Linked DNA regions of Macaca mulatta. The protein of the gene in region 6 purifies or fractionates together with the protein of the main gene of each other region. This does not show direct contact. Links are inferred from orthologs where the notes say so. Each region holds a gene or a part of one and is shown on either strand. Other genes may lie near its edges. The genes, in order: CHD1, CSNK2A2, TRIM24, SRPK1, CHD4, SSRP1 and MMS22L.

The links.
Region 1: the proteins of SSRP1 (region 6) and CHD1 purify together in Homo sapiens (affinity purification with mass spectrometry; 3 studies listed by BioGRID and IntAct, with this or other methods). This does not show direct contact. The link is inferred for Macaca mulatta from reciprocal best matches to the Homo sapiens genes SSRP1 and CHD1.
Region 2: the proteins of SSRP1 (region 6) and CSNK2A2 purify together in Homo sapiens (affinity purification with western blotting; 3 studies listed by BioGRID and IntAct, with this or other methods). This does not show direct contact. The link is inferred for Macaca mulatta from reciprocal best matches to the Homo sapiens genes SSRP1 and CSNK2A2.
Region 3: the proteins of SSRP1 (region 6) and TRIM24 purify together in Homo sapiens (affinity purification with mass spectrometry; 3 studies listed by BioGRID and IntAct, with this or other methods). This does not show direct contact. The link is inferred for Macaca mulatta from reciprocal best matches to the Homo sapiens genes SSRP1 and TRIM24.
Region 4: the proteins of SSRP1 (region 6) and SRPK1 fractionate together in Homo sapiens (co-fractionation; 3 studies listed by BioGRID and IntAct, with this or other methods). This does not show direct contact. The link is inferred for Macaca mulatta from reciprocal best matches to the Homo sapiens genes SSRP1 and SRPK1.
Region 5: the proteins of SSRP1 (region 6) and CHD4 purify together in Homo sapiens (affinity purification with mass spectrometry; 3 studies listed by BioGRID and IntAct, with this or other methods). This does not show direct contact. The link is inferred for Macaca mulatta from reciprocal best matches to the Homo sapiens genes SSRP1 and CHD4.
Region 7: the proteins of SSRP1 (region 6) and MMS22L purify together in Homo sapiens (affinity purification with mass spectrometry; 3 studies listed by BioGRID and IntAct, counting the BioPlex papers as one, with this or other methods). This does not show direct contact. The link is inferred for Macaca mulatta from reciprocal best matches to the Homo sapiens genes SSRP1 and MMS22L.

The regions. Positions count from the first base shown.
Region 1 is NC_133411.1:107,621,279-107,624,778, forward strand, and holds part of CHD1 (chromodomain-helicase-DNA-binding protein 1), read right to left. Parts: intron 1,695-3,500; coding exon 1,598-1,694; intron 620-1,597; coding exon 568-619; intron 1-567. UniProt on the Homo sapiens protein: ATP-dependent chromatin-remodeling factor which functions as substrate recognition component of the transcription regulatory histone acetylation (HAT) complex SAGA. Regulates polymerase II transcription.
Region 2 is NC_133425.1:53,802,437-53,806,376, forward strand, and holds the start of CSNK2A2 (casein kinase II subunit alpha'), read right to left. Parts: upstream 2,801-3,940; 5' UTR 2,430-2,800; coding exon 2,326-2,429; intron 1,545-2,325; coding exon 1,433-1,544; intron 1-1,432.
Region 3 is NC_133408.1:178,297,887-178,301,970, reverse strand, and holds the start of TRIM24 (transcription intermediary factor 1-alpha), read right to left. Parts: upstream 2,801-4,084; 5' UTR 2,755-2,800; coding exon 2,391-2,754; intron 1-2,390. UniProt on the Homo sapiens protein: Transcriptional coactivator that interacts with numerous nuclear receptors and coactivators and modulates the transcription of target genes.
Region 4 is NC_133409.1:146,332,733-146,336,697, reverse strand, and holds the start of SRPK1 (SRSF protein kinase 1), read right to left. Parts: upstream 2,801-3,965; 5' UTR 2,762-2,800; coding exon 2,160-2,761; intron 1,790-2,159; exon of another isoform or gene 1,658-1,789; intron 1-1,657. UniProt on the Homo sapiens protein: Serine/arginine-rich protein-specific kinase which specifically phosphorylates its substrates at serine residues located in regions rich in arginine/serine dipeptides, known as RS domains and is involved in the phosphorylation of SR splicing factors and the regulation of splicing.
Region 5 is NC_133416.1:7,522,682-7,526,181, forward strand, and holds part of CHD4 (chromodomain-helicase-DNA-binding protein 4), read right to left. Parts: exon of another isoform or gene 3,304-3,500; intron 2,527-3,303; coding exon 2,331-2,526; coding exon of another isoform or gene 2,328-2,330; intron 376-2,327; coding exon 212-375; intron 37-211; coding exon 19-36; 3' UTR 1-18. UniProt on the Homo sapiens protein: ATP-dependent chromatin-remodeling factor that binds and distorts nucleosomal DNA. Acts as a component of the histone deacetylase NuRD complex which participates in the remodeling of chromatin.
Region 6 is NC_133419.1:16,070,288-16,074,352, forward strand, and holds the start of SSRP1 (FACT complex subunit SSRP1), read left to right. Parts: upstream 1-1,265; 5' UTR 1,266-1,336; exon of another isoform or gene 1,337-1,539; intron 1,540-1,821; 5' UTR 1,822-1,940; coding exon 1,941-1,994; intron 1,995-2,408; coding exon 2,409-2,594; intron 2,595-3,824; coding exon 3,825-3,930; intron 3,931-4,065. UniProt on the Homo sapiens protein: Component of the FACT complex, a general chromatin factor that acts to reorganize nucleosomes. The FACT complex is involved in multiple processes that require DNA as a template such as mRNA elongation, DNA replication and DNA repair.
Region 7 is NC_133409.1:88,599,676-88,603,175, forward strand, and holds part of MMS22L (protein MMS22-like), read left to right. Parts: intron 1-26; coding exon 27-114; intron 115-207; coding exon 208-385; intron 386-3,123; coding exon 3,124-3,214; intron 3,215-3,500. UniProt on the Homo sapiens protein: Component of the MMS22L-TONSL complex, a complex that promotes homologous recombination-mediated repair of double-strand breaks (DSBs) at stalled or collapsed replication forks.

The DNA.
Region 1 (3,500 bases), on a different chromosome or scaffold from region 6:
TAAGTACAACTTTTATTAACGACCTTAAAAATAATATGTGGCAAAAAAAACTTAAGTTGATAGATAACAAGAACTCGTTTCAACCCTTGCCAAAACAAAATTGGTTCCCAAATACAAGCAGTTGAAGCATTTATAAATGGTGTATAAAAGCAGTACTAAGGATTATTTTAAAAGGGTCACTTGATTCTGAAATGTGACAAAAACTAAAAAATATGGGACCCATTCCTTTCTCAGACTATACTTTTGTGGCTGTCATACAGAAAGAATGCATTACTATTCCAAATTACATAAAAAAGAATATTTGTTCATTTTAGCAGTTATTCTACAATTTCTAGAAACTGGGAAAAAGATGATTAAAAGGATAATCAACTAAAAAGAACGATAGCTTAAGAGAATACATTTTATATAATAATGTAGGTATGTATCAGAATTACCGTATCTTCTTAATATAAAGGTACTTGTAAATAAAAACAAGGTAACAACTTTAACATTTAGTTTATTTAAAACAAATATTTAAAAAAAAAATTTTTTTTTAATTTATTTTCCCAATCAGTAAGACTTACATACCTGGATTTCTAATCACATGAGGATTCAAGTTGCTGTTTTGATCATTGTTTTGCTAAAATAAATGCACACATGTGTAAGAATCTTTAGGTGACTTCACAAACTTACAAAAAAGGATAATTCTTAGAAAATACTGATACTGAAGTCTTCAAACAAGGTATTAGAATGTTTATGTGTGTACATATATGTATATATGTGTGTATATATACATGTATGACATTTATAGATCTCCATTTTTAAAGTATGAACTACTTGTCCCATGACTTAAAGATATTTTTTCACTTTGAAATAAACTGACTTAACAGAAAAGTTGCAAAAATACTGAGTTCTCACATACCCTTTATCTAGCTTCTCCTAATGTTAATATCTTATATAAACATAGTATAAAGATCAAAACCAAATAATTAACATTGGTATAACACTATTAACTGAAGAACAGACTTCATTCAGATTTCACATTTTTCCACTCATGTTCTTTATCTGCTCGGGGATTCGATTTGGAAGCCCATATTACACTAAGTTGTCATGTCTTCCTCTGGGGCAGCTCCTTAGTCTACTGCATGCTGTTAATACTTCTGGAGAGTAGCAGTTATTTTATAGAATATCCCTCAAGAAGGGCTTGTCTGATATTTTCACATAACACTTATATATTTTTGGCAAGAATTCCACATAAGTCATGTGCCTTTCTCAGTATCAGAGGGTTCATAATGCTGATGTGTCTTACCACTGGTGACATTAACCTTGATCACTTGTTTAAGGTGGGTCAGGCAAGTTTCTCTATTATAAAGTTATTATTTTCCCTTTATAATTAATAAACATTTCAGAGATCTGTCAATATCCTATTTTCTTGCCCATTAACTTTACCTCCCTTCTGTGAATCTTGCCTGCAACAATTATTACTGTGGTGTTCAAAGGTGATTTTTAAAATTTATCTTATTCATTCTGTATTTATTAATCAAATTGCTTTGTAAAAAGAATGTCTCATGGTTTTAATTATATAAATTAAGGGAAAAAAATATAATGGCAAGTTTACCTGAGATTCCTGCCGTTTTTTAATAGCATGCTTATATAATTTATGCAATTTTCTTGCATCAAATTCAGTAAACTTAGATACAAAAATCCATAGGTTTCTAGAAGAATTAAAAAAAAGGCAAATTACATTAGTCTGGTGGAAAATATTTAGTTTTTTTCATGGAACTCCTTCCCTCCAAACAGAAACACATACACACATACACAGCCCTCTATGGAACAAACTCTTAAGGATATTAATTCTATGTATTTTTTCAAAACTTCATATAAGACTCCAGTGAAACTAAACATTATATTTTACTTCTCTTCCAGATCACTTCATTTTATAGTCTTTAGACTGAAAAGCAGTAAACAATCCTAATTTGAAATGCACCAAAGATATAAATTAAATCAGGAAGTGATTCAGATTCATACTGTGATCCTGATTATGCATATAAGGGACAGGTATGTTAATAATTGGGAGTGGAAATACCATCAGGTAATACGGATTATGCTTGTAAAGAATTGTCTTAAATAATGCATTAAAAAGTAACTGTCACTTAATAATAGTAATGTAATGGTCCCAAGAGTTAACACGATCAAACACCATAAATAAGGTACAGCTTGGTATCTCTTGCCATTCCAACAGAGGCATCAGTAATTAATCAGAAACTGTGGTGATTATTTCATAATGCATGTGTATATCAAATCATCAAACTGTATACCTTAAATACATAAGAACTGTAATTGTTAAATATACCTCCAAAAAGAAAAGGAATGTTAAGTTCTAAGGGAGGGTGGTAGTCCCTAGAAGATTCAAATGTACACTAGAGGTAAAATATTTACCTTGAAATATATTTTTAAAATGAACTTAAGAGAATATATTGAATGGTACCTTACTGAACTGAAATCCACAGAAGGGGGAAAATTCATCTAGCCTTTACATAAATTCACAGACTATCTCGAACATATCTACATTCTAAGGTTAACTCATAAGGGTAAAAGGTGGGAATTTAATAAAGTACCTTTTTGTTCCTAAGTAAATTCCTTGTAAAAACATATTTTCCGGCCGGGCGCGGTGGCTCACGCCTGTAATCCCAACACTTTGGGAGGCCGAGGCGGGCGGATCACGAGGTCAGGAGATCGAGGCCAACCTGGCGAACACTGTGAAACCCCGTCTCTACTAAAAATACAAAAAAATTAGCTGGGCGTGGTGGCGGGCACCTGTGGTCCCAGCTACTCGGGAGGCTGAGGCAGGAGAATGGCATGAACCTGGGAGGCACAGCTTGCAGTGAGCGGAGATCGCACCACTGCACTCCAGCCTGAGCAACAGAGCGAGACTCCGTCTCAAAAAAAAAAAAAAAAAAAAAAAAAAAATTAAAAAAAATTAAATAAAATTTAAAAAAATATCTATATATACACACACACATACATATACATATTTTCCCCCAAAAAATCTAGTCAGGAACCAGATTCTGGTCTTAATTATATCATCCAAATGACTATCTGATCTTGAACAAAGCACCAGAGCTGAGGCAAGCATCAGCACTTACACAAACCTAAGAATTAGTGCCTCTTTTAGAGTTCAGGTCCTAGTGTTTCCTCTGTCATTCTCCAGTTCCAGCCCTAAAATGCTTTTCAACTGAATCCATTTTTTTCCTTCTGTAAAATGGAATAGTAAATATCTGTTCATATTTCCTACAAGTAATACTATTAAAAGGATCAGCTAGAATGAGGCATATTTGATAGACAAATAAAATACAAATATACATTCTATTTTGGCCATCACTTTATTACAGTGATCTTTAAATAAAAACTAGTGTTGCATTTCAGTTGTTTTTAAGAAATTTGGTCAAAAAATATATTGAAAAAAATTGTAAGCAAAAAACAAAAAGATCATTATAGTAACTACTGTAACACTTGCTTAA
Region 2 (3,940 bases), on a different chromosome or scaffold from region 6:
CTCTTTACTGCAATTCTGCTTCTTCATCACTAGGCTAGGATGTTTTGAGTGATGGAGTTAATCATTTTTTCTGAAAGATTACCAGGAAGCATAAGCCTGACCCCTCACATTAAACAGTGATTACCTACACAGCTGCTCTAACACACAGAAACAGCTTTTCAATTCCACATTCTTAGTCCACAGAACCTCTGCAAAAGGGCCACACTGGAAATCACATGTATGCAAAGTGCTTACGTCACTCTTCCGTCTTCTCAATCTCTCACTAAATGACATGTAACCACATGAAATGATCTGGCAATAACGAAGACCCATCACAGATTCTAAGAACTACTTTTTACTATAGCCTATAAAACATTATTAAAGCTATACAATTAATCTGTTACCAGAAGGAAAATTTAGCCGACCCTTCATGCTCATTAAAATCATCTTCATGGAAGAGATAACAAAAGACATATCATTATCAAACTGATTGCTAAACCATATATTAAAATCGTTTTGTTCCAATTATTGCTTTAGTAATAATACGTGAATTCTTCTACATTTTTACTAGCTGATAAGCAACAATGGCTCTCTGGCTTCCCAACAAGGCTTCTCAGCACTACTGGCGCACTATATCCATCCCACCTGAAACTTTACTGCCAAAGGAAAAAAAAAAGCAAGTGATTATCTGCTAAGGAATTTCCTTCCACTTGGGTTTGACATACATTTCTGAAGTCGCTCCAATTTTTTCCAACTTTCTTTCTGGAACAACGGAGAGCATGCACCAAGACTAACAAACACAGTGCTCAGGGAGCCCTTAAATTGAGAATGGCTTTCCTGTCTTTTGAATACCTATTTATTTTCTAACAAATGGAGCCCTTTAGGAATTTTTGCTTTAGGCAATTTACTTTTTAGAACAAACACCTTCCTGAACTTAGATTTGAACTAAGATCTGTGACCAGTCTGCACATTTTCTTGAAAGTTCACAGCAAAATGGGGTGGAAAAAGAAGTAATGAAGGGACATCAGATAAATAAAATCTGAGCGTGGGCTGGGCACAGCGGCTTATGCCTGTAAACCCAGCAATTTTAGGAGGCCTGCAAGGAGTCCTTTTGGAGGACTGCTTGAGCTCAGGAGTTTAAGACCAGCCTGGGCAACTTGACCAGACCCTGACTCTACAAAAAAATTTTAAAAATAACTGGGCGTGGTGGCATGCACCTGTAGTCTCAGCTACTTGGGTGAGATGGGAGGATCATTTGAGCTCAGGAGTTGAAGGCTGCAGTGAACTATGATCTGCACTACAGCCTGGGTGACAGAGTGAGACTCTGACTCTAAATAAATAAATTAAATTAAATTCAAGCTTGCATTGCCCATTCTAGAACGTGACTGGGGTAGCTTACAACCTTCTGCCCTGTGGGGGGAAAAATGTTACATACCACTCATAGGACACTCACCTTGAGGATTTTTACAACCACTCTCTCATTGTTGGTGATGTTAATGGCCTCAAATACTTCACTATATTTTCCCCGACCAAGTTTTCGAACCAGTTGGTAATCATCTTGATTACTGTAAAAGGAAGACACACACATAAATGCCAGGACTGGGGGTTAATCTAAGCAAGCCTATGCTCACTGTATACGTCATTCAGCCGCTTCCAACAGGCAAACACTTGGAAGTGTCTATACATCACGTCACAACTCATTCCCTAAATGAAAGCCACGACGTAATCTTGGCTCCCTTCACTCTGCAGAGCTCCTAACCTAATTGGTCTCTCCTAACTTGGAAAGATGGGGCAGGAAGGCAACGCTCTGAGCCAATCCAGAGGGCTGAGCAAAGCACCCGTCCTGAAGGCCTAGAGGGTGCCCCCTGTGCCCCGCGGCTCCCCAGCACCTGCTTCCCGTTTCACACCCTGAGGGTAGACAGTGCCTGTTTTAAAAAACTGGACGTCTTTAAGAAATTTCCTCCCACCACCTCATCTCAGAAAACCGAAAAGGCAGGGAATTTTAATAGCTCCAAAGGACAGCTGTTGACTTCCCACCCCAGTGGAAACCCAGAAGCGTGAGGAAGGGCTACTCCCTCACTTTTACCGGGCGTCGATCCCTGGACCCCACACTTCTCCCCGAGTAAAAAAGCATTCCTTGGGGGAAAGAGGTGCGCAAAGCGGGGAGAAAGGGACAAGGGGAGGGAAGAGGAAGACGAGGACATGTGCGAGAGCTGGACCTCTGCCTCCCTGCGGGCCCGCGGAGGGGTCGGCGGGAGACACCACCGGGCCCGAGTGCGGTTCGCAGGGGGTGGCCGGGCGGGGGCAGGGGTCAGCGGGCCCGGCGGGGGGCGGCGGCGGCTTTACCCCCAGCTCGGGACGTGAGCCTCGTAGTCCCAGTACTCGCGGCTCCTCAGGCTGTTCACCTCGGCGTAGACCCGGGCCCTGCTGCCCGCGGCCGGGCCGGGCATGGCGGGCGGGACCGGGGGGCGGCGCGGGGCGCAGAGGGTGGCGGCGGCGACGCGGCGGAGGGCGCGGGGCGGCGGGCGGAGGGGGCAGCGGGCCGCCGGGCGCTGGAGGAGGAGGAGGAGGAACGCGGCGGCGGGCGGCCGCGCCAGGCCGGGCCCGCGGGGGCGGGCGGGCTGGGGGCGCGGGGGGCGCCGGCCGAGCCGGCCCGGCCCTGGAGCGGCCGGCGGGGCGGCGGGGCGGGCGGCGCTCGCGATCCGCGGCGGTCTCCGCTCGGCTCGCGGCCCCCAGGAGGCGGCGGCAGTGGCGGCGGCGGCACCGGCAGTGGCAGCCACCGGCCGGGAAAGGGGCAGCGGCCGCGGCAGCGGAGAAGAAGGAGGAGAGAAGGAGGAGGCGGAGGAAACCCGGAAAAGGGGCCGCGCTCGCTGGGAGCGGCCGCCGCCCGGCCTGGGACCGCCCAGGCTCACAGCGCCCCCTGGAGCGCGGGGGGACCCGCCGGGCGGTGCCGGCCCCGCCCCGGCCCCGCCCCGGCACGCCCCGCCGCCTACCTCGCGCCCTCCCGCACCGTCCCGCACCCTCGCCCTCCCGTCGCCCCAGGTCGGACGGTCCAAATCGCCTCACCCTCGGGCTGGCCTGACTTCACGCCACAGGAGCCCCCCTTCCACTGGCCGTTGCCCTAGAGCCCTCGCCCGCGAGTCCCGACCCTTTCACTGTCCTTGGAGACCCTACCCCTAGCCCTGCACTCACCCAGCTTTTACCCACCCGACACCTCCCATACTGACCCTATTCTGACCCTCCTGTCACCCAAACTGTCAAGTCCCTCCCCAGGGCCTCGCTCAAACCTCAGAACCTCTCCCACCTCAATACTTCTCCTTTTCCCGGAGACATACCCCTCCTTCCCCCTCTGGACCCTGCCCTGTTAGGGTAGACTCCTCAGTCCCCAAAGCTTCCCACCCCCGTCATTCAGAGTCCTCACAAAACCTTTCCACGCTTCCCCCAAATGCCCTTCCAGAGCCTTCCCTGAATATCCACTTTGGTCACTTGGTTAAGCTGGCGTCGGCCAGGTTGTGCCACTGCAAAGTTACAATTTTTCCCTTTGTGATTAGTTAGTTATTTGTGGGGAGAGACTTTGAGTGTGTAAATCTCCTGTTTGTGTTTAGGAGGAGGGAGAGCAGAATTGCAAATCCGACCTGAAGGGACAGCAGGGATTGGGGATGCACCAGGGTAGGTGGTCAACTGAACTGGCCTGGCTTCCAGTGTTGCTTGCAGCCCTGAACACCCTTCTCCTTGGACCTTCTAGGCCCTTCCTTTGTCTTCCTTTCCCATCCTGCATCCTTTATCGACAGGACCTCTGCACCCAGTGCAGGTTGCTCTCATTCCAATCCCTTTTCACAGTCTGTTTTCTAGATGAAATCCTGGGCCTTCCTCCTTGACACAGCTAAGAGCACAGACTGTAGAGTCAGATCTATCCAGCACTGCTACTTAGAAGCTGTGTGACCTTAGGACAATTACTCAA
Region 3 (4,084 bases), on a different chromosome or scaffold from region 6:
TATGATCCATGTTCTCATTAATTCAAGTCCGTATGTCATGGCCAGGCAAACAATATATCTTAATTCTATAATAATGCACAATTCAGATCTTAATTGGCTACTAGCCTGTTTAACCATTTAAAATATAAATGGAAGAGGCCGGGCGGGGTGGCTCATGCTTGTAATCCCAGCATTTAGCGAGGCCAAGGCAGGTGGATCACCTGAGGTCAGGAGTACAAGACCAGCCTGGCCAAAATGGCAAAACTCCATCGCTACTAAAAAAAAACACACACACAAATTAGCCGGGTGTGGCGCCCGGCTGAGGCACAAGAATTGCTTGAACCCGGGAGGCGGAGGTTGCAGTGAGCTGAGATCGTGCTACTGCATTCCAGCCTGAAGGACAAAGCGAGGTAGGAAGGTAGGAAGGTAGGCAGGGAGGAAGGAAAAACCAACCTTAAAATGCGTCTAAGAAATAAGAACAGGCGGGATACGGTGGCTCACACTTGTAATCCCAGCACTTTGGGAAGCCAAGGTGGGCGGATCACCTCAAGTCGGGAGTTCGAGACCAGCCTGACCAACATGGAGTAACTCCATCTCTACCAAAAAAAAAAAAAAAAATACGAAATTAGCCGGGCGTGGTGGCGCATGCCTGTAATCCCAGCTACTCGGGAGGCTGAGGCAGGGCAATCGCTTGAACCCGGGAGGCAGAGGTTGCGGTGAGCCAAGATCGCACCATTGCACTTGAGCCTGGGCAACAAGAGCGACACTCCGTCTCAAAATAAACAAAGAAACAAGAACTAAGGTTTAAGCTTTCACCTGTTCGAACTTTCCAGTAGTGGGCCTCTTCAGAGCAAACTAGTGTGAAGGATCTGAGAGTTTGTTCAACTTGCAAGCTAACAACCTTACCAGTTTCACGGATGGTGATAGAAGACACTCAAGGGTCAGAGACACAGGGCAGTTTGTTTTTTACTCACAGGAACAGCATAAGCCAAAGCATCAAGATTTTTGCACTAGTTCTCGGAACTCCAGGTTCCCACTGGTCAACGTGAAGAGAGCCAGCTGACATCTACACAGGCAGTTCCTTCTCTACAGGAGAGGAACCCTAAGCTTAGGGAACCCTAATCTTTTAAGATGGGCAGTAAGCATGCCTACCCTTTCGCTCCAGAGGGAGACATTATTCTTATTATACTGGATAATACGTATCCCTGCCTCTTGCTCTGGTGGAAGACACTATCGAAGGCTGCTCTTTAGATAATATCCGTGAAAAACAGAAACAAAGGGCAGTCAGTATCTTCCTGGCAAGGGTGCTGGCAAGAGTGAAGAAACGGACACGCATGGAAAACTGTCTCCTACAAGTGGATACTGGGCCTAACATGCAGTTAAATAAATGAGTCTCGGACCACAATCTAAAGTATCCATTTCACACTTCCCTTAACGTAGCGTAAAATTAGCGTTTTATTTCAAACTAAATCAACTATTCCCTCTAAAAAGTATTAAAAATGCTCTTCCAGTTACACTGTATTTTTTTAAAAAGAGGTGCTCAAATATTTGCAATAAAATTTAAAAACTGCCAAGTGTTCTACCCAAAACCGTATCCACTTAAACTTACTTTAAATGTTTCAAACCTGTTAAAGTGAGCAATGGGAACACCTGTCAAAAGTCTAATTCTACAGTAATAAACACCACAAAGAGAAGAGTAACTTCTAGCTTTATCTATAAAATACCAGGAAACCCTGCACCCCAAATCACTTTGCATTATTTCTCTTCACCGTCTCAAAATAAAACCCTTGAAAGAGACACACAACAAAACAACGTCTCTTGGTTCCTTTGTCCCTAGCAGAGGAGAGGGAAAAGAACTGGGAACTCATTAAGGTAAAGAGCCCCAAACATGCAAAATAAGAAATAAATGACATCCGATCTGCAATCAGTCATGAAAGAAAGTCACCATCACTTCATCTTCATCCCTCCCTTCTCCCCTCCAGCTCAAATAACGTGGGTATAGACGAGATGATCAGGATCATATGGACCTGGACAAAGCTTTGTGGAGGCAGCGGGCGGGTAAGCAGTTAACTGGATGCAGGCGGCAAAGAACCCGAGATTCCGGCTGCAGGAGACTCCGCAGAGGTCTGCAAAAGTGCGGCTGGCAGGGGCCGCCCGGCTGTAGAGAACGCGGAGCGGCGGCGGCGGCGCGGTCAAGTCCACAGCGCCCGGGGAAGTTGCTGGCCGAGCGCAGCACGCCGCAGAGCGCGGGCCCTCCATGTCACCGTCGCCAGCACAGACCCTCCTGCTCGCCCCTCCCCCGCCGCGCACCCCGGGCGGCGGCGACATGACAGCGGGTCGCGCTGCACAAGGGCGCCCGCCCCCTCCCGGCCCTCTCCCCGGGCTCCCCCGCGGCCGCAGCCGGTTCTCACCTTGGGTGGCGAACGGCGACGAGCCGCTGACCGGCGAGCCGGGGACAGGGACGGGCGGCGGGGTCTCGGCTGAGCCCAGCATGGGCGCGGGCAGCATGAGGTAGCGCTGGGGCGCGGGTAGGCAGCGCTGGCAGAAAGAGTGCAGGCAGGGCAGCAGCTTGGGCGCCCGGCTCTGGATGTTCTGGTGGCACACGGCGCAAGTGTCCAACAGGTTGAGCCGGGCCGCCTCGCCGCCGCGCTCCGAGTCCGGGCCCTGCCGACTCTCGGCCTCGTTCTCCCCGCTCGGCGCCGCCGAGGGCCCCCCGGAGGCCGCCGCCGAGGCCGCTGCCGCCGCCGCCGCCGCCTTCTCCACAGCCACCTCCATTGTCCTGCCCCCGCCGCCGCCGGGGAAGCGAGAGCGCGGTCTTCGCCCGCCGCCCCCGACGACCTCCTCCTCCTCCTGCGGCTGCTCCTCAGAGGCCGCTCGGTGGACTCGCGGCAGCGCCAGGGAGGGAGGGAAAGCAAGCCGGGCGGGGGAAGCCTCCTCAGGCCCAGGGGATCCGCCTCCCGAGTGGCGCGGCCGGAAGAAGGGGATCTGTCAGCGGAGACCGTTCCTCACACCGGGGAGGCTGCACCCCGTCCGCTACGCCAACCGCCGCTGCGCTCGTCGAATACGCCCAGCCCGCCCTTACCTCCCCGCCTTTCTCTTCATCGCTCCCCAAGCCCACCTCAGGCCCCGCCCCCGCCCTCCCTCTCCCAGCAACTGAGGCTTCGGCGAGGATCCCGCCGCCCAATAGCAGCCGCGCCTGGCGAGGGGGCGGGACCTGTCGGAGCCCGCGAGGCTCTGTCGGCCGCGGCGGGAGGTTGGGAAGTGGGTGGTGCTTGTCCAGCCCCGCCCCCTCTGGACTCCTGGAGCCGCGGTCTCTGATTGGGCCTTTGTGTGTGTTTTCTCCTCTGAAAAGATTGAGGGTTCATTTGTTATCGACCATCCGCCTGATTCGGTCCGGGGTGTTAGCTCCTCCTAGGGGGCGGGACCTCACTTGTCTACTCTATGCCGTTAATTAAGTAACTGCTTGGAAAACTCGTTTCATTACTGGAGACCTGGTCTTGTAGGAGGGGTAAATATGGTAGGAGGGTCACAGGAGGAAGGAGTGGAGGTACTGAAGAGCAAACAAGGAAATAATTTTCTAAAAATACTGTGTGAAAGAGGTACTCTGGAGGCAGCATGGATATTGCAACCTAATTTTACTCATCTTTAGAATGAATGACTGAGTATGAAGAATAAGGGAGGGAAGTTCTTGTGCAAGTTGGAAATTTTTAAAGGGTTCCCCAATGAAAAAGGTGAAGTTAATTTTCAAAGTCAGTGATGTGCTTTTTAAAGTGACTAAAGGTTCGTTTTCCCAGGAATTAATACAGATTGGCTAATGTTTTTATTGCATAAATATAGCATCATTAAGTAAAAATAAGCCTCAATACTGATCCCCAAATAATTCATAACTTCAAGATTCTTTTTTATTTCTTCCCTCCCTCTTATTTTATTCCCTCCCTCCCTCACCTCTCTATGCTGATATCAGAAGTTAAGCACATTTTTCACTCAAAAAATGAAGCAGCTTTTAAGGAACTTGAAGAATAGAAACGGAGTGGAGGAAACAAGCTTTTGTAAACACGTAACTTTAAGAAGTGTATATAAGTTTTTTTTTTTTTTCAATACGAAT
Region 4 (3,965 bases), on a different chromosome or scaffold from region 6:
GCCTGGGCAACATGGCAAAACCCTATCTCTACAAAAAATACAAAAATTAACCAGGCGTAGTGGCATACACCTATAGTCCCAGCTACTTGGGGGGCTGAGGCAAGAGAATTGCTTGAATCTAGGAGGTGGAGGTTGCAGTGAGCCGAGATCGCACCACTAAACTGCAGCCTGGGCAACAGAGCGAGAACTTGCCTCAAAAAGAAAAAGAATAAAAAGGTAAATTTAAAACAAAAAAAAGCAAAAACGTATTAATTGGAAACAAAATCAAAAATAAAACACCTCTGAAATTACAAGTAAATGGGGCAGTTCATTCACGCATATTTTCAGGAGTCAAAGTTGTTCAAGATAAAATATTCAGTAAAATGACTGCTACGTTATCTATAATCCACACTTGCAAACAATTAACAACACAAATAACTCTAAGTTATCCATAGTAGTGAATGGGGTAACAGATATACATATATTTGGCTTTAGAAATAAAGCATATAGTCTAAATAGATAATCGGAAGTAATAGATATCTGGTGCTTAAAGTATATGATCACCTATATACATTTGCCCCTCAAATTATAGCTTGATTTGGGCTAATCTCAAATTAATTTCCAAGTGGTAAGAGAGATCTGGACAAATGGTCTGAGAGACCAGGATTTCTAAAAAATACAGTAATATAATAAAAACCGCAACTTCCTCGTATCAATAGAAAAGAACGTTTTAACACATTCTTATCAATTCCACAAAGAATAACTCAACTAGGCACAGAAAAGTAACATTTCAATTCCTACTGCACACTAGAACCAAGTTAGCACCTTGCTGTTTCTATTAAACAATCTAGGATTAAAAAATGGTTTTGAATAATCCCATATACGGATAATCCAAAGGCAAACAGACACACACAAACTCACCATTTACAAACCTTCGTCACCAAGCACTTACAAAATACATTTCATAAGACAGAATAGAAAATGGAGCAAGAGGTGAGGTCACCTACCACTTTAGTTCTATTGAAAGACAGAAGTCATTATGTGCTCTCCCCAAACAGTAGGTAGCCTCCAAAAACAACACACACCCCTACGCCCCCCTTAATCTGGTATTGTCATTCAGTGGGGTGACCTAGGAAGGCCTTTGAAATGTGTTGTATCAACTCAGAGGGAATTAGACCGCATACAACGCCAAAAAAATCAAATAAATTTAAAAGTATAAAGATAATACATCTAAAATTAAGAACTAGGCATAGAATCTCTCTCTGAGAGATGATTTCCAAGAGCTGATTTCCAAGACCCTTTGCAGTTAAACGTTAGTACATGATGAAAGTTCTTTAGGCTTAGCCTCACTTGCTGAATGAAGCCTGCTACCTGAGTTTCTATTAGGCTGTGACCAACTTTTGAACTTGCCACGATAGCACTATACTGTTATGCATCCCACTGATAAAACTGGACATGTGGCGCTTAATACACCAAACCAGAACCATCGATGTGTGTTAAAGAACTCTCCCGTTACTATAGTGATGCCGACTCCGGAAGATTATCTGCATTTGATTGAGGTTTAGACAGAAGAGAAGCAGTTAACAGACACTGACTGTATACACAGCGGTCTGCCGGCACAGTGCAAAAAAGCCGATGTGCCTTGCAGGTTCAGGAAGTTGACTAACCCAAAGAAAAGCCCCATGCCCTCCTCTATGAAAGGGAGTGTGTGGTTGGTAGAACCCAAAGTAAACACGGAAAAACTCATTCAAGAATTTCCTTAAGGCCTACCGTGCAGACGTTGGAGGCAAGTTAAGACGTTGGGGAGCAGGTAAGAGAGAGAGACCAGAGTTCAGAAACAGAACGATAATGATCTACCAGCTCCGGTGGGGGGGGGGTCCAAGCTAGGGGAGTTTGTGCCTCCTCTGTGGAGTTGGGGAGGAAAGGTACCGGGCGGGCTCTGGTCCTCCTCCGACAGCCCTTTCCAGCAGGCCTGGGGCTGCTAAGACCCAGGCCTGGCGTTCAGCAACAGCAGCTCTCTTCCACATGGTTGCTGGAGAGCGACCCTCCGAGCTGCCCCGAGGCCATGTGGCTGCGGCCACAGGGTGCCCAAACCCTGTGCACATTCAAGACGCGAAACCAGAGCAGAGAAGGTGCCGGAGGAAAATCCAAAGAATGGGATGTTGGGGTACAAGACTCACTTCCTTTGGGCTTTGTCCTTCTTGGCCTTGGTCCTTTTCTTTCGGGCCTGGAGCGCAAGCACTGCAGGAGAGAGGGATGGATGAAGGGCAAATGTGGAGGAAAGGAGGTGACCAAGGTGAGGGTGGAGACCCAGCAGGGGCGCCAGGCCCGGCTGCGGGGCCTGTCTCAGGGGCGGCTGCGGTACGAGCGCGGAGGCTTCGGCAAGGCGGCCGGCCGGGGGGCTGGCGGCCCACGGGGCACAGAGCAGCGCACGGGCGGGATGCGCCGGAGGGGTCTCAGGCCGGGTCAGGGGGCGGGCGGGCGGAGGTCTGCCTCGCCCGCCAAGGTCCGGGCCCTGGAGTGGCCCCAAGGCGCAAGCCGGCCTGGCAGGGAACAAGGGGCGGCGACGGCCGGCGCCGGAGGACGCCCGGGCTGAGGGGCGCGGACCCGCAGCCCAGAGGCGGGGGGTGTGGGGCGGCGCCACCTCAGTGGAGGGGCGCCGCAAGCCCGGGGACCGAACCGCGGCAGTTAGGCGAAGCTCCGGGCGCTGACCCGGGCCTCGCCCCGGCGGCCGTTGCCCCTCGTGGCGGAGGCCGCTCCACCGCTCACCTTTCCGCTCCATGGTGAGACCGGTAACCGCCAAGCGCCTGCGCACTCGAGTGGCGGTGACTCCAGCTCCCGCCGCGGCCCAAAACCGAGCCCGCGCACACTCCACCCCCAGTCCCGCCCCGCCCCCGCCCCACCGTGCCGCGCGCATGCGCGTCGGGAGCGGAGCCTACCACCTGCTCCCGAGGAGGGGGCGGCAAGGAGAGGGAGGGGGCGCTGAGAGGAGGAACGTCGGGGGTGAACGTTGAAGGAGTGTTAGAGATCCAAGCTCGGAAACCTGGCAAGGTTAGTTTTATTCTATTTGCTTAGAAAAGGCGCAGAGAGCGGCAGGGCTCCCTGCATGCTGCTGAGTCAGAGCTTCAGAGGCAATTGGGATCTGCCTCAGTTTCCTGGCCTGTAAAATGGATTAATCAGGCATGTCCCAGTTTCTCCTTCCCTGAGCTATTGTGAGCCCAGTTGAGATGCTATTTAAAGAAAATGGAAAAAAATTACATGTGAGAAAGAAAAGGGAGTGGGAGCAACACAGAAAGACTGGAAGGAAAGAACCTGTGACCCTATTATCACTTGAAAAGTAAAAACTTCAAAAGTGAATTTTCTCTTGAAATTTCAAGTTTAAATGAAAGCTGTAAAGGAAAGAAAGGGAAATGAGAATAAAAACGTTTAATGTTTTCTTATTCTACCACTTTCAATACATGATAAAGTTGTCTTGTTTATGAGATTTTTTTTTTTTTTACTTTTCTAAGTGCATTATCTCATTTTATGTTTATGGCAACTTAAAGGCAAAATAGTTATTCCTTCCATTACACAAAGACACTAAACTTAAGAGGACCTGCCTATATGTTCAGAATCTTGGTGTACGACCCAGTTATTTAATCATCAAGCCCTTATTGTATAGCAGGCTCAGCAAAGTTTTTCTTTGGGCCAGATAGTAAATATTTAGGCTTTGTGGACCATAAGATCTCTTTCTCAGCTACTCAACTCTGCCACTGGAGCTCAAAAGCAGTCATAGAAAATATGGACTTTGTTCCTATAAAGATTTATTTATGGACACTGAAATTTTAATTTCATATAATTTTCGCATGTCATAAAATGTTCTTCTATTGATTTAAACATGGCCTTTGTTAGGTTTTGAAGGGAAGGTGAGGGTTAAAGAGGAGTAGTCTTGCTCTGCTACTCAGGTGGAGTACAGTGGCATGATCTCGGCTCACTGCAGCCTGGAT
Region 5 (3,500 bases), on a different chromosome or scaffold from region 6:
TGTTATCAGTCTGCATCTTCACTGCTGCTGGGCTACCTAGAGAAGGAGACCCAAGGAGTCAGAATTCCAGATGATAGGAATCCACCCAATCTCAAGGGAATTCACTGACAGCCTACCCACCCAGTATGTAAAGCTAGGAACATACAACAAAGTTACAAGCTCCAGAATGGTTCTGCAGGAAGAGGTGGTGTCAAGAAGAAAATGGTCCTACCTGCTGTGGGGTAGGTTCGGGTGCCCGGTTTGCCAGGCGGCTGAGAATGTTACGCTCTGACATCTGTAACCTCACAGCAACTGGGGGAATTCGGGCAATGGTAGCTGGGAGTCGAGTCACATCGGCTTTCATGTCACTCAGCAGTTCTTCCAGCTGTTTCAGAACTGCAAAGGGAGAAAAAGAGGTGGTGAGCTGTGGTGGCCAAGACTGAGGTCCCTCTACCCTAGTGGACCAGCATCTCTTCTCAGTGACCAAGTGACTGTGATGTGTTATCTTCTGTCACCTGACCTGACCTCCACCATGTTCAAATTCCTGCTCCTCATATTCCAGTTCCAACTGTTCATGATTTTGTGCTCTTAAAAGTCACCTAAACCTTCACTATCCCTTACTATTATTGTATTTCCTCTTCTTGAGAAGCTTATTCCTGTTTTTTCTCTTCTCTACCTTCAGAATCTGTCTCCCACCTCCATTATAACAGCATTCTTTTCCTTATTTCACCCTCCGCCTCCTCATAACCTTTTACTTTAATTAGAAACAAAACGCTGAAAGGGGTCTAGAATTTGAAGGGATCTTTTATCACCTGAAGTTACCTCTAAAGTATCCCAAATGACACTATATTATTCTGCTTTGCTTTCCATCTCAAGAACCTGAATATATTTAAAGTTAAAAGAGGTGGGGCCGGGCGTGGTGGCTCATGCCTGTAATCCCAGCACTTTGGGAGGCAGAGGCAGGTGGATCATCTGAGGTCAGGAGTTTGAGACCGGCCTGGCCAACATGGTGAAACCCCATCTCTACTAAAAATACAAAAAATTAGCCGGGCATGGTGGCGGGCGCCTGTAATCCCAGCAACTTAGGAAGCTGAGGCAGAAGAATCGCTTGAACCCGGGAGGCGGAGGTTGTGGTGAACTGAGATCACGCCATTGCACTCCAGCCTGGGCAACAAGAGCAAAACTCCATCTCAAAAAACAAACAAAAAAACAAACAAAATTAGCAGGGCATGGTGGTGCATGCCTGTAATCCCAGCTACTCAGGAGGCTAAGGCAGGAGAATCGCTTGAACCTGGGAGGCAAAGGTTGCAGTGAGCCGAGATCACGCCACTGCACTCCAGCCTGGGCAACAAGAGCAAAACTCCGCCTCAAAAAAAAAAAAAAAAAAAAAAAAAAAAAAAAAAGGTGGCCAGGGCGGGGCATGGTGGCTCACGCCTATAATGCCAGCACTTTGGGAGGCAGAGGCAGGTAGACCACTTGAAGTTAGTTTGAGACCAGCTTTGCCAACATGGTAAAACCCCATCTCTACTAAAAATACAAAAACTAGCCGCAAGTGGTGGCGCATGCCTATAGTTCCAGCTGCTCGGGAGGCTGAGGCAGGATAATTGCTTGAACCCAGGAGGCAGAGGCTGCAGTGGGCCAAGATCACGCCATTGCACTCCAGCCTGGGCAAGAGCTAGACTCCATCTCAAAAAGAAAAAAAAAAAGGTGGCCGGGTACAGTGGCACATATTTGTAGTTCCAGCTACTCAGGAGGCTGAGGCAAGAGGATCACTTGAGTCCAGGAGTTCAAGACCCACCCGGGCAAAATGTTGAGAGCCCATCTCTTTTTTTTTTTCCGGAGTCTCACTGTGTTGCCCAGGCTGATAGCCAGTGCAATGGCACGATCTTGGTTTACTGCAAACTCTACCTCCTGGTTTCAAGCGATTCTCTTGCCTCAGCCTCCTGAGCAGCTAGGATTACAGGCATGTGCCACATGCCCAGCTAATTTTGCTATTTTTAGTAGAGACGGGGTTTCACCATGTTGGCCAGGCTGGTCTCGAACTCCTAACCTCGTGATCCACCCACCTTGGCCTCCCAAAGTGCCGAGATTACAGACGTCAGCCACCGCGCCCAGCCAAGAGCCCACCTCTTAAAAAGAAAAAAGAAAAAAAAAAAAAAAAAGAGGCAAAGAACTACTGTCCTTGATTGCCTCTAACATATTAACTCCCCAAGGATGGCAAAGGTCCCTACCAACTCCTAAACTCTCAAAGGAGCTCTGAAAAAGGTTTGAAAACAAATATATGTACATTGGGATGCAGTTAGATGAGGGAGGAGGCCTAATCAGCAGGAGGCAGGGGAGCCACTGGCTACCTTTGTGCAGGACTGCATTGGCTGGCTTGTTTCCTGCCATTGACTCCTTGGACAGGTGCTGATGACTTTCCGCCAAACACTCCACCTCAGCAAAGCGGGTGTTGAGGGCCATGGAAGGGTGAGAAGGGTCTTCTGACATGTTCAAGTAAGCAGCCCGGCGCAGCTGTTCCTCAATCACCAGAGCTTGTTCTAAGAGCTGGACAAGGGATAAAAGGAAACGGGAGTTCGACTGATAACTCACTTTGCTTACTTCTGACTGGCCTCTCAGCTCACCTCTCATTGTTTCTGATAGTAATAAGAACCTATAAATAACTTCATGGACAGCTCATTCCCACACCCAAGCAGTTTAACTTTGCCTTGTATCTTTTTTCTTTCCCTTTTTCAATGTCCTCGTTTTTAAAACTCTTTACCCTTTAGATTCTCTTATACAAAAGCAATAAAAACTCAATTTAGAAAATAGAATATCAAAAATTAACAACAGATGATCCCACCTTCTAGAAATATATCCTGATTTTTTTTTAGGTTTTTTTGTGCATAGTTTTTTACATAACTGAGATCATACTATATACATATCCATATTATGTTTTCATTTAGTTACAGTTAAACATTTTCCTTTTTATCATCTACTCTTTATCAACTACTCTTCAAAAACACGTTTTGGCTGGGCACAGTGGCTCACACCTGTAATCCCAGCACTTTGGGAGGCTGAGATGGGCAGATCACTTGAGGTCAGGAGTTCAAGACCAGCCTGGCCAACATGACAAAACCCCATCTCTACTAAACACACAAAAATTAGCAAGGTATGGTAGTGCACACCTGTAACTGCTGCTGCTCAAGAGGTTGAGGCAGAAGAATGCTTGAACCCGGGAGGCAAAGGTTGCAGTGAGCTGGGATCATGCCACTGCACTCCAGCCTGAATGACAGAGGGAAACTCTGTCTCAAAAAAACAGGGTTATTTTGCTATTTTAAAATATTTTTGTTTTTTATTTCCTCTTATCGCCATCTCACTTCCATTCCTCTGAAAAGCAACCTTTCTAATATAGTAATACTGTGGCTTTTTGTGTAGGTTTTTAAAGACTGTGTTGTTTCATATGTATGTTTCTAAGTTACAGAATGATGTTTTCTGTACCTATGCTTTTTTTCTCCCACTACATACTTTTTAAAAGGTAC
Region 6 (4,065 bases):
TGATCTGCCTACCTCGGCCTCCCCAAGTGCTGGGATTACAGGTGTGAGCCACTGCGCCCAGCCAGGGATGTTTTCGTCTTGTTCAAGTTCCTCAAATCCGAGAAGTGTGCTAAATTAGTCATAGGCCCTCAATATCTATCTATTAAACCCAGTTGAATTTATATTGCTAGATAATGCTGGAATAGCCACTACTCAGAGGTTAAAGCTATGAATTCAGGGGAGAAGGGTGCATTCCTGTTGTCTCTTACCTCAGGATTGAGTTAGCAAGCTGGTGTACTGATTGTCAGGGAAATCTTGAGTTTACATATTCTGTACTAATGTCTTCATGTAGGACACATATCATCAATCATTCTGAACATACAGTCACTGTGATTATGACAGAAGATAACTGGACTGGTGGTGGTAAGGAGGTCTGTGTCCTAGCCTTGTTGCCAACGCACTGAGACCCTGGGCAACTCACTCCCCTTTGGGTCTCAGTATTCCCATCAGTAAAAAGAGGTTGGGGTAGAAAAACTAAAATATATTTTCCAGGTCTGGTCTCTGATGTTGCAAAAATGCACTCTGGGACTATATGAGGGAGAGCTGGCTTCCGCAACCCCAGGATGATGTGGTTTCAAATCAGTTCTGGCTCCAAAGTGAATCTGATACCAGGACTTGAACTGGATACGGCCATTTGTCAGCCTCTTGGGGGGACCTATACATTTCGGTTAGGGATGTGAAAATTTTGGGTGTAGACGGCGAACTTGACAGGTCAGCCAGAAAGCAGTGCACCCACGGTGACACCAACACCCGCATTCTCTCCGCAGCCAGTGCGAGAGGTCGTTTCTTCCCACAACTGTTCAAATACTTTTCTTCGTGTTCCATCGACTCCTCTCCATGACACAGAAACTATTTTGCAGAGAAACGGGCACGCATCATTTCAACACACACCCCCACCCCATTCCTGTACTAAGCTAAGTCTGATACAATACAACTACACAATTTCTCTTCAGTATCTAGTCTCCACTGAAGAAGTGTCTGTAGTTTCTAAAGAGCCCTACACAAATTTTCTAGGCAGATTCCACCCGGCTGAGAGAGACTTCACGGCAACCACTCTTCCCTCAGGTCCTCCAGAGTCGCTGACGCTCTATGCGACTGTCTCGCAGGCGGGCCGGGCTCGCGTCTCTCTAGCCAGCTCGTCGTCTCTGTGGCCTGTGCACGGCTTCCGGTGGCGGGACGCGGGGCCGCGCACGCGGGAAAAGCTTCCCCGGTGTCCCCCCCATCCCCCGCCCCACCGCGTCCCCCCAGCGCGCCCACCTCCTGCGCCGGGGCCCTCGCGAGGCTGCAGCCTGAGGAGGTAGGTGGTGGTCGTCCCCCGGTCCCAGGAAGGCAGGGGCGCCCCTCCCCCAAGGGACGCTCGACATGGACCATTCCGCGTTCGAAACCGCGGGGAGCGGGCGAATCCATCCTGTGGGGCGGGGGTGAACCGGAGGCCCGCGGGGTGGTGGGAGCGCTGCGAGGGAAACCCTGCACTCTGAGCTGGATTGGGGCGCGTGCGAGGTGCGGGCTCCGGGCTGACCCTGGGGTTCCGCTGCTCGTTGCCATGGCTCCCGCCAGAGCGGCTAGAGCGGGCATCGGGTTGGGTGTCAGCGGTATTCCAGGCCCGGTTCTCCACCTGGGCTTAGGCCTGGACCCTCGAGCGCTGCAGCGTCCGTCTGTAGGTTTCCAGGCAGAGGAAATCCTGAGACATCCCAGGCGCAGTTGGGAGTTGCTGCTGTGCTCCATCCGTGAGCACAGCGAGGTGCTGTCTTTCATGCTTATCTGTCTTCCTCTTGAATTTAGATTCCCAACCTGCTGAGCATCCGCCCACCCACTCAGGAGTTGGGGCCCAGCCCCCAGTTTACTCGGTTTCCCTTGTGCAGCCTGGGGCTCTGCCCAGGCCACCACAGGCAGGGGTCGACATGGCAGAGACACTGGAGTTCAACGACATCTATCAGGAGGTGAAAGGCTCCATGGTGAGAATGGCTTGGGCAGTTGATACAAGTAGAGAGAAGGAAGGAGGGTAGAGTTTTTGTCCATTAACGAGAGCTTGCTTTGGTAATGTTATTTTGGAAAAAGAAGACTCAGTATAACGTGTACCTAGTGTCTCCCCCAACACGAGGCAATACTGAGAGATAGTCTCAGAGTTATAGGGACCGTATATGCTCTTCAGTTCCCAATTCCTGTTTTACAAATGAGGAAACTGAGAATCTGTTAAGGATTCTAAATACCAGAGCCTGGTGTGGAATCTAGACTCCTTGCACCTCAGCTGTTGCTCCTGCATTGACAGTCTGCCCAGCCCACTCGCAGCTGGAAAGTGTGTTGGGTAGAACTGGACCCAGGACATGCTGTGTACTGTCCCCATGCATCTGGGCCTGCTTTTCTTACAGAATGATGGTCGACTGAGGTTGAGCCGCCAGGGCATCATCTTCAAGAACAGCAAGACGGGGAAAGTGGACAACATCCAGGCTGGGGAGTTAACAGAAGGCATCTGGCGCCGTGTTGCTCTGGGCCATGGACTTAAACTGCTTACAAAGAATGGCCATGTCTACAAGTATGATGGCTTCCGAGAATCGGTGAGCTGTCCCATAGCTATAAACCCCCTTTTTACTGCATCATCTTGTTTTAATCTTCTAGAGACTCGAGGTTCCTTCCTCATGTAACCCTGTGATTGCTAGTTTGGGCTCCTTAGAGCAGGACTGTGAGGCCATGAGGCAATCAGTGTTCGGCTTTGAGTGTTGAAGTCTTGTGAATTTCTGTGTGCCTTGACTCCAGAAGATTTTCTTCTGTCTTGATTTAGATACTAGTTTCTACCTGTGACTTTTATCAAGGTTCAGGATCTTAGCTTGATGTCTTTTTGTGTTTTTTTTTTTTTTTTTTGAGACAGGGCCTCGCTCTGTCACCCAGGCTGGAGTGCAGTGGCGCAATCTCCGCTCACTGCAGCCTCTGCCTCGTGGGTTCAAGTAATCCTTCCACCTCAGCCTCCTGAATATCTGGTACCACAGGCACATGCCACCATGCCCAGCTGATTTTTCATAATTTTTGGTAGAAATGGGGTTTCGCCACGTTACCCAGTCTGGTCTTGAGCTCTCAGACTCAAGGGATCGCCCACCTTGGCCTCCCAAAGCGTTGAGATTACAGGCATGAGCCATTGCGCCTGGCTAGCTTGATGTCTTAAAGTGTGGGTTTCCATTTTGAACTGCTTGAGTTAAAGGCTTTATTTGATTTTAATTTCCACTTTCATTAAAGTAATACCTATACAAAGTTTATAAAATCAGATGACCCATAACCAGGAATGTCAGATCCAGTGGCTAGAAGCAACCTCTCTAAACCATCTTTTAAACAATGTTAGAGCTGGGTTGCTAAGTCATCATGAGTTTCTTTTTTTTTTTTTTTTTTTTGAGACGGAGTCTTGCTCTGTCGCCCAGGCTCTAGTGCAGTGGCGCGATCTCGGCTCACTGCAAGCTCTGCCTCCTGGGTTCACACCATTCTCCTGCCTCAGCCTTCCGAGTAGCTGGGACTACAGGCGCCCACCACCTCGCCCGGCTAATTTTTTGTATTTTTAATAGAGACGGGGTTTCACCGTGTTAACCAGGATGGTCTCAATCTCCTGACCTCGTGATCCACCCGCCTCGGCCTCCCAAAGTGCTGGGATTACAGGCGTGAGCCACCACGCCCGGCAGCAAGAGTTTCTTATAAAGCCTATTTGGGACAGTTTCTCAGAAATAGATAATCCCAGGACATTCAAGTCGGTGTTAAGGCCACCAGGGTTTACTGGGATTGCGTTTTCTTCCCTCCACCCACAGGAGTTTGAGAAACTCTCTGATTTCTTCAAAACTCACTATCGCCTTGAGCTAATGGAGAAGGACCTTTGTGTGAAGGGCTGGAACTGGGGGACAGTGAAATTTGGTGGTGAGTCCTGGGGAAGACTGAGGTTTGGGGAGGAAGATAGGGTGAAGGGCTTCAGCCTTTTACTTGTTTTGCTCTTTTCCTTCTGCCACTGTCTCTGGTTTCCTATCTGTTTGCATGTTCATCGTGTGTTTATTG
Region 7 (3,500 bases), on a different chromosome or scaffold from region 6:
ATCAACATTGTCTATTTTGGTTTCAGGGAAGGTATCAACGCTGCACTGCAAAGCAGACAATATCAGACAGCAGTGTGTACTATTTCTCCATTATGTTAAAGTTTTCATCTTCAGGTAGGATATCAGATGAGTATTTTGATCACTGCATGAATTTCTGTGTGTATTCATATAGACTCTGATTGTTTATTTTATCTAATTATTTTTTAGGTATCTGAAAGTACACAATGCTGAGAGTCATGTTCCTGTCCATCCTTATGAGGCTTTGGAGGCTCAACTTCCCTCACTGTTGATTGATGAGCTTCATGGATTACTCTTGTATATTGGACACCTATCTGAACTTCCCAGTATTAATATAGGAGCATTTGTAAATCAAAACCAGATTAAGGTTCGACTTGTTTCATTTAATTTTTAAATTATCAGCTTTTTCTCCCCACAAGGAATATTCATTCAGGAAGGAGAGAAATTAGTCAAAATTACAGCTCTGCAACCTGACTGCCTGTGTTGAAATTCTTGCCCCCATCCTCCTTTTATTAATTATGTGCTCTTGGGCAAATGACATCTCTTGCCTCAGCCTCCCCATCTGTGTAATTCTTATAACTTACTAGAATCATTGGGAGAATTAAATAAATTAATATATATGAAGTTATTAAAACATAATATTCATTGAATCAGTAGCTATTCTCTTGATTTATGACAGTGTAAATGTCTGAAGATTTTAAAGCAAATGAAATAATCTTTGTTTTCTAAAATTTTTTTATCATATATTGCAGTAAGATTCAAGATCAGCTTATTAAAAAAAACTTCCAAGACCACATCATTGTGTGTATTCTGATTTTTGAGGCCTTTTTGGAAAGTGATTAAGATTGTTTTGACTCTGCCCTTTTTTTCCTTCCTGTGATAATCATTCCTTCTGAAGTTTGGTTTTTAAAAATTTATATTGTTACCATGCCTAGCTTATAGATAAGTAATAGATTCTCCCTATGAAAATGGGAGCTTGTATGAATAACAAATTATGGTAATTCACAGTGAGATTCCCTGAAGTCTCAACCCCTTTCATTATATTTGACTTTACCATTTTGAATAATATTTACTCTTTATGAACATACCTTTGTTAAAATATAAAAACAGCTGAGCATGGTAGCTCATGCCTGTAATCCCAACACTTTGGGTGGCTGAGGCAGGGAGGAGTGCTTGAATCCAGGATTTGAGACCAGCTTGGGCAACATAGCGAGACCCCATCTCTATAAAAAATTAAAAAGTTAGCCAAGGGTGGTGGCACATACCTTGTAGTCTTAGCTACTCAGGAGGTTGAGGTGGGAGGATCAGTTGAACTCAGGAGGTCGAGGCTGTGGTGAGACATGACTGCACCACTGCATTCCAGCCTGGATGACAGAGCAAGACCCTATTTCAATAAATAAAATAAATAGAATTAAATGTTTACATGTTTCTGTGAAATGTAGCAGAAACAAGTTGACTTTTTTATCAGAGATCAATATATGTAATAATAAAAGCAAATAAAGTTCTAACTGAATTTACAAGTTAGTATAACTAATCCATAGAAAACAAATAGGTAATTGCTTTTAATTATGTCATTTAATAAAAAGATTCATGAGTAGATTGTTGAAGGAGGGATGTTTTCCTTATTAGTTTCTGTAAATTGGACTGGTTTTTATTTTCTAGTTATCCATCGAATACATAAGAAATAAAAATGAATAATTTATGTGGCAGCAGAAATAAAATTTGTGCACTAGGGTCCTCAAACTAGATATTGCCTTTCATAGGCTTTTTAATTAGGCAGACTTGAAAAGATAGGTTATTTGAAGCTCAGAAGACTAAAGTTTTAAAGCAAGGGAACTTTATAGTCTTCAAAAAATAAAAAATCACCCACTAAAATACTGTTCTTTTCTGAAACAAAAACATAATAGAAAGCATCTTTCAAGACTATGTTTATATATTTGTTATAACAATCTTGTATAGGAAATGTTTTGTTTTCATTGGTATTTCCAGTTGAGCTTCTTTTATTATTTTTTAGGAACTCTAGATATATGTTAGTTATTGGGAATTATGTATTGCAAATATTTTATTTACTTTTTCATTAAGTAAGCTGACTTTCTAGGTAGATTTGAATTTTTTAGATAGTTATATTTTTCCATTTTTTGTTTTATCTATGCTGTTAAAATATTTTGATTGTTGCTTTTATCTCTTTAATTCGTGTTATTTTTAAGTATGCACTGAGGTGAGAAGTCTAACTTCAGTTTCTTGCAAATGCATAAGTTAAAACTCTTATTTTTTATTGAATGACCCATACTTTTCCCATTGATTTGAGATGCCACATAAATTCATTTCTGTCTTCTCTGTTCTTGCTCTTTGTTATCTATTTCTGTCCCAATACGGTTTTGTCAGTGTAGCATTTTATTTTGTTTGTATACCTAATAACGCAGGTCTACTCTTCATCATTCTATTTGTTTTAATGGAACATGTTACGTCATTTTTTTTTTATAGTATTTATTTTTATAGTGATGCTAAATTCTGACAGGAGGAAGGTTAGTGATAACCCAGTATAACACAGTACTTGAAAGTGCTGGGTTTTGACTCAGATAGAATTGAGTTTGAATCCTAATACATGAATTGAGAGAGAAATTTTTTCACCTCTTTTTACTTCTGTTCCTTAATGAGATGACAGTAATGTCTACATGACAGTCTAAAGTTCTTTTGTTAAAATATTTTATAGGAGTTCCTAGGTACTCATACATTAAAAAAAATTTCCTAGCTAAATTCTAAAACAAAATTATGAAAACACGTGTTTAAAAAAATTCTTTTACTGCCTTGCAGCTATAGTAGAATCAGAGGTTGGCTGGAAGGTACCTTTACTATACAAGTCTATTCAGCAGCCCCAAAGTGGGTTTGTCTTAAACCAACAGATGAAAATATTTACTGCTTTCAAAGATCTTCAGTGAAGGAATCCTTTAATGAACAAGACAGAGGTTTTCCCTGAGCTTTTGAATAGTGGTAGGTTAATTGGTTCTTTATCCTTGTGTTTATGGAGGAGTATTGTGACATGCTATGAAACACCTTGTAAAATATTAATGAATTCTCAATCACAGTTGATAATGTCATCCACAGCTTTTTCCACCATCATGGCATTTATTACATCTCCACTTGGATATACATTGGCTGGTGCTAGAAATTCTTTACATGCTGGGTGAAAAATTGAGTAAGTTTATGGATTTATGATTTATATTCTTTTTAAAAGCTTTTATTGCTTTTTAAAATTACGTAAGTAATAAGTGCCTTCTGATATTTAAAAAAAATCAAATAGTAAACAAAGTAAGAAGTAAAAGTTTTACTCCTTTTTTTCCAGAGGTAACTACTGGGAACACCTTGATTTATCTTTCCATATTTACATTCTATCTGTTAGTATACATATTTCCATTCTATCTGTTAGTATCTATATAAAAACTCATAGGTAAAATTTTGTTTTTGTTTTTAACCACAGATAT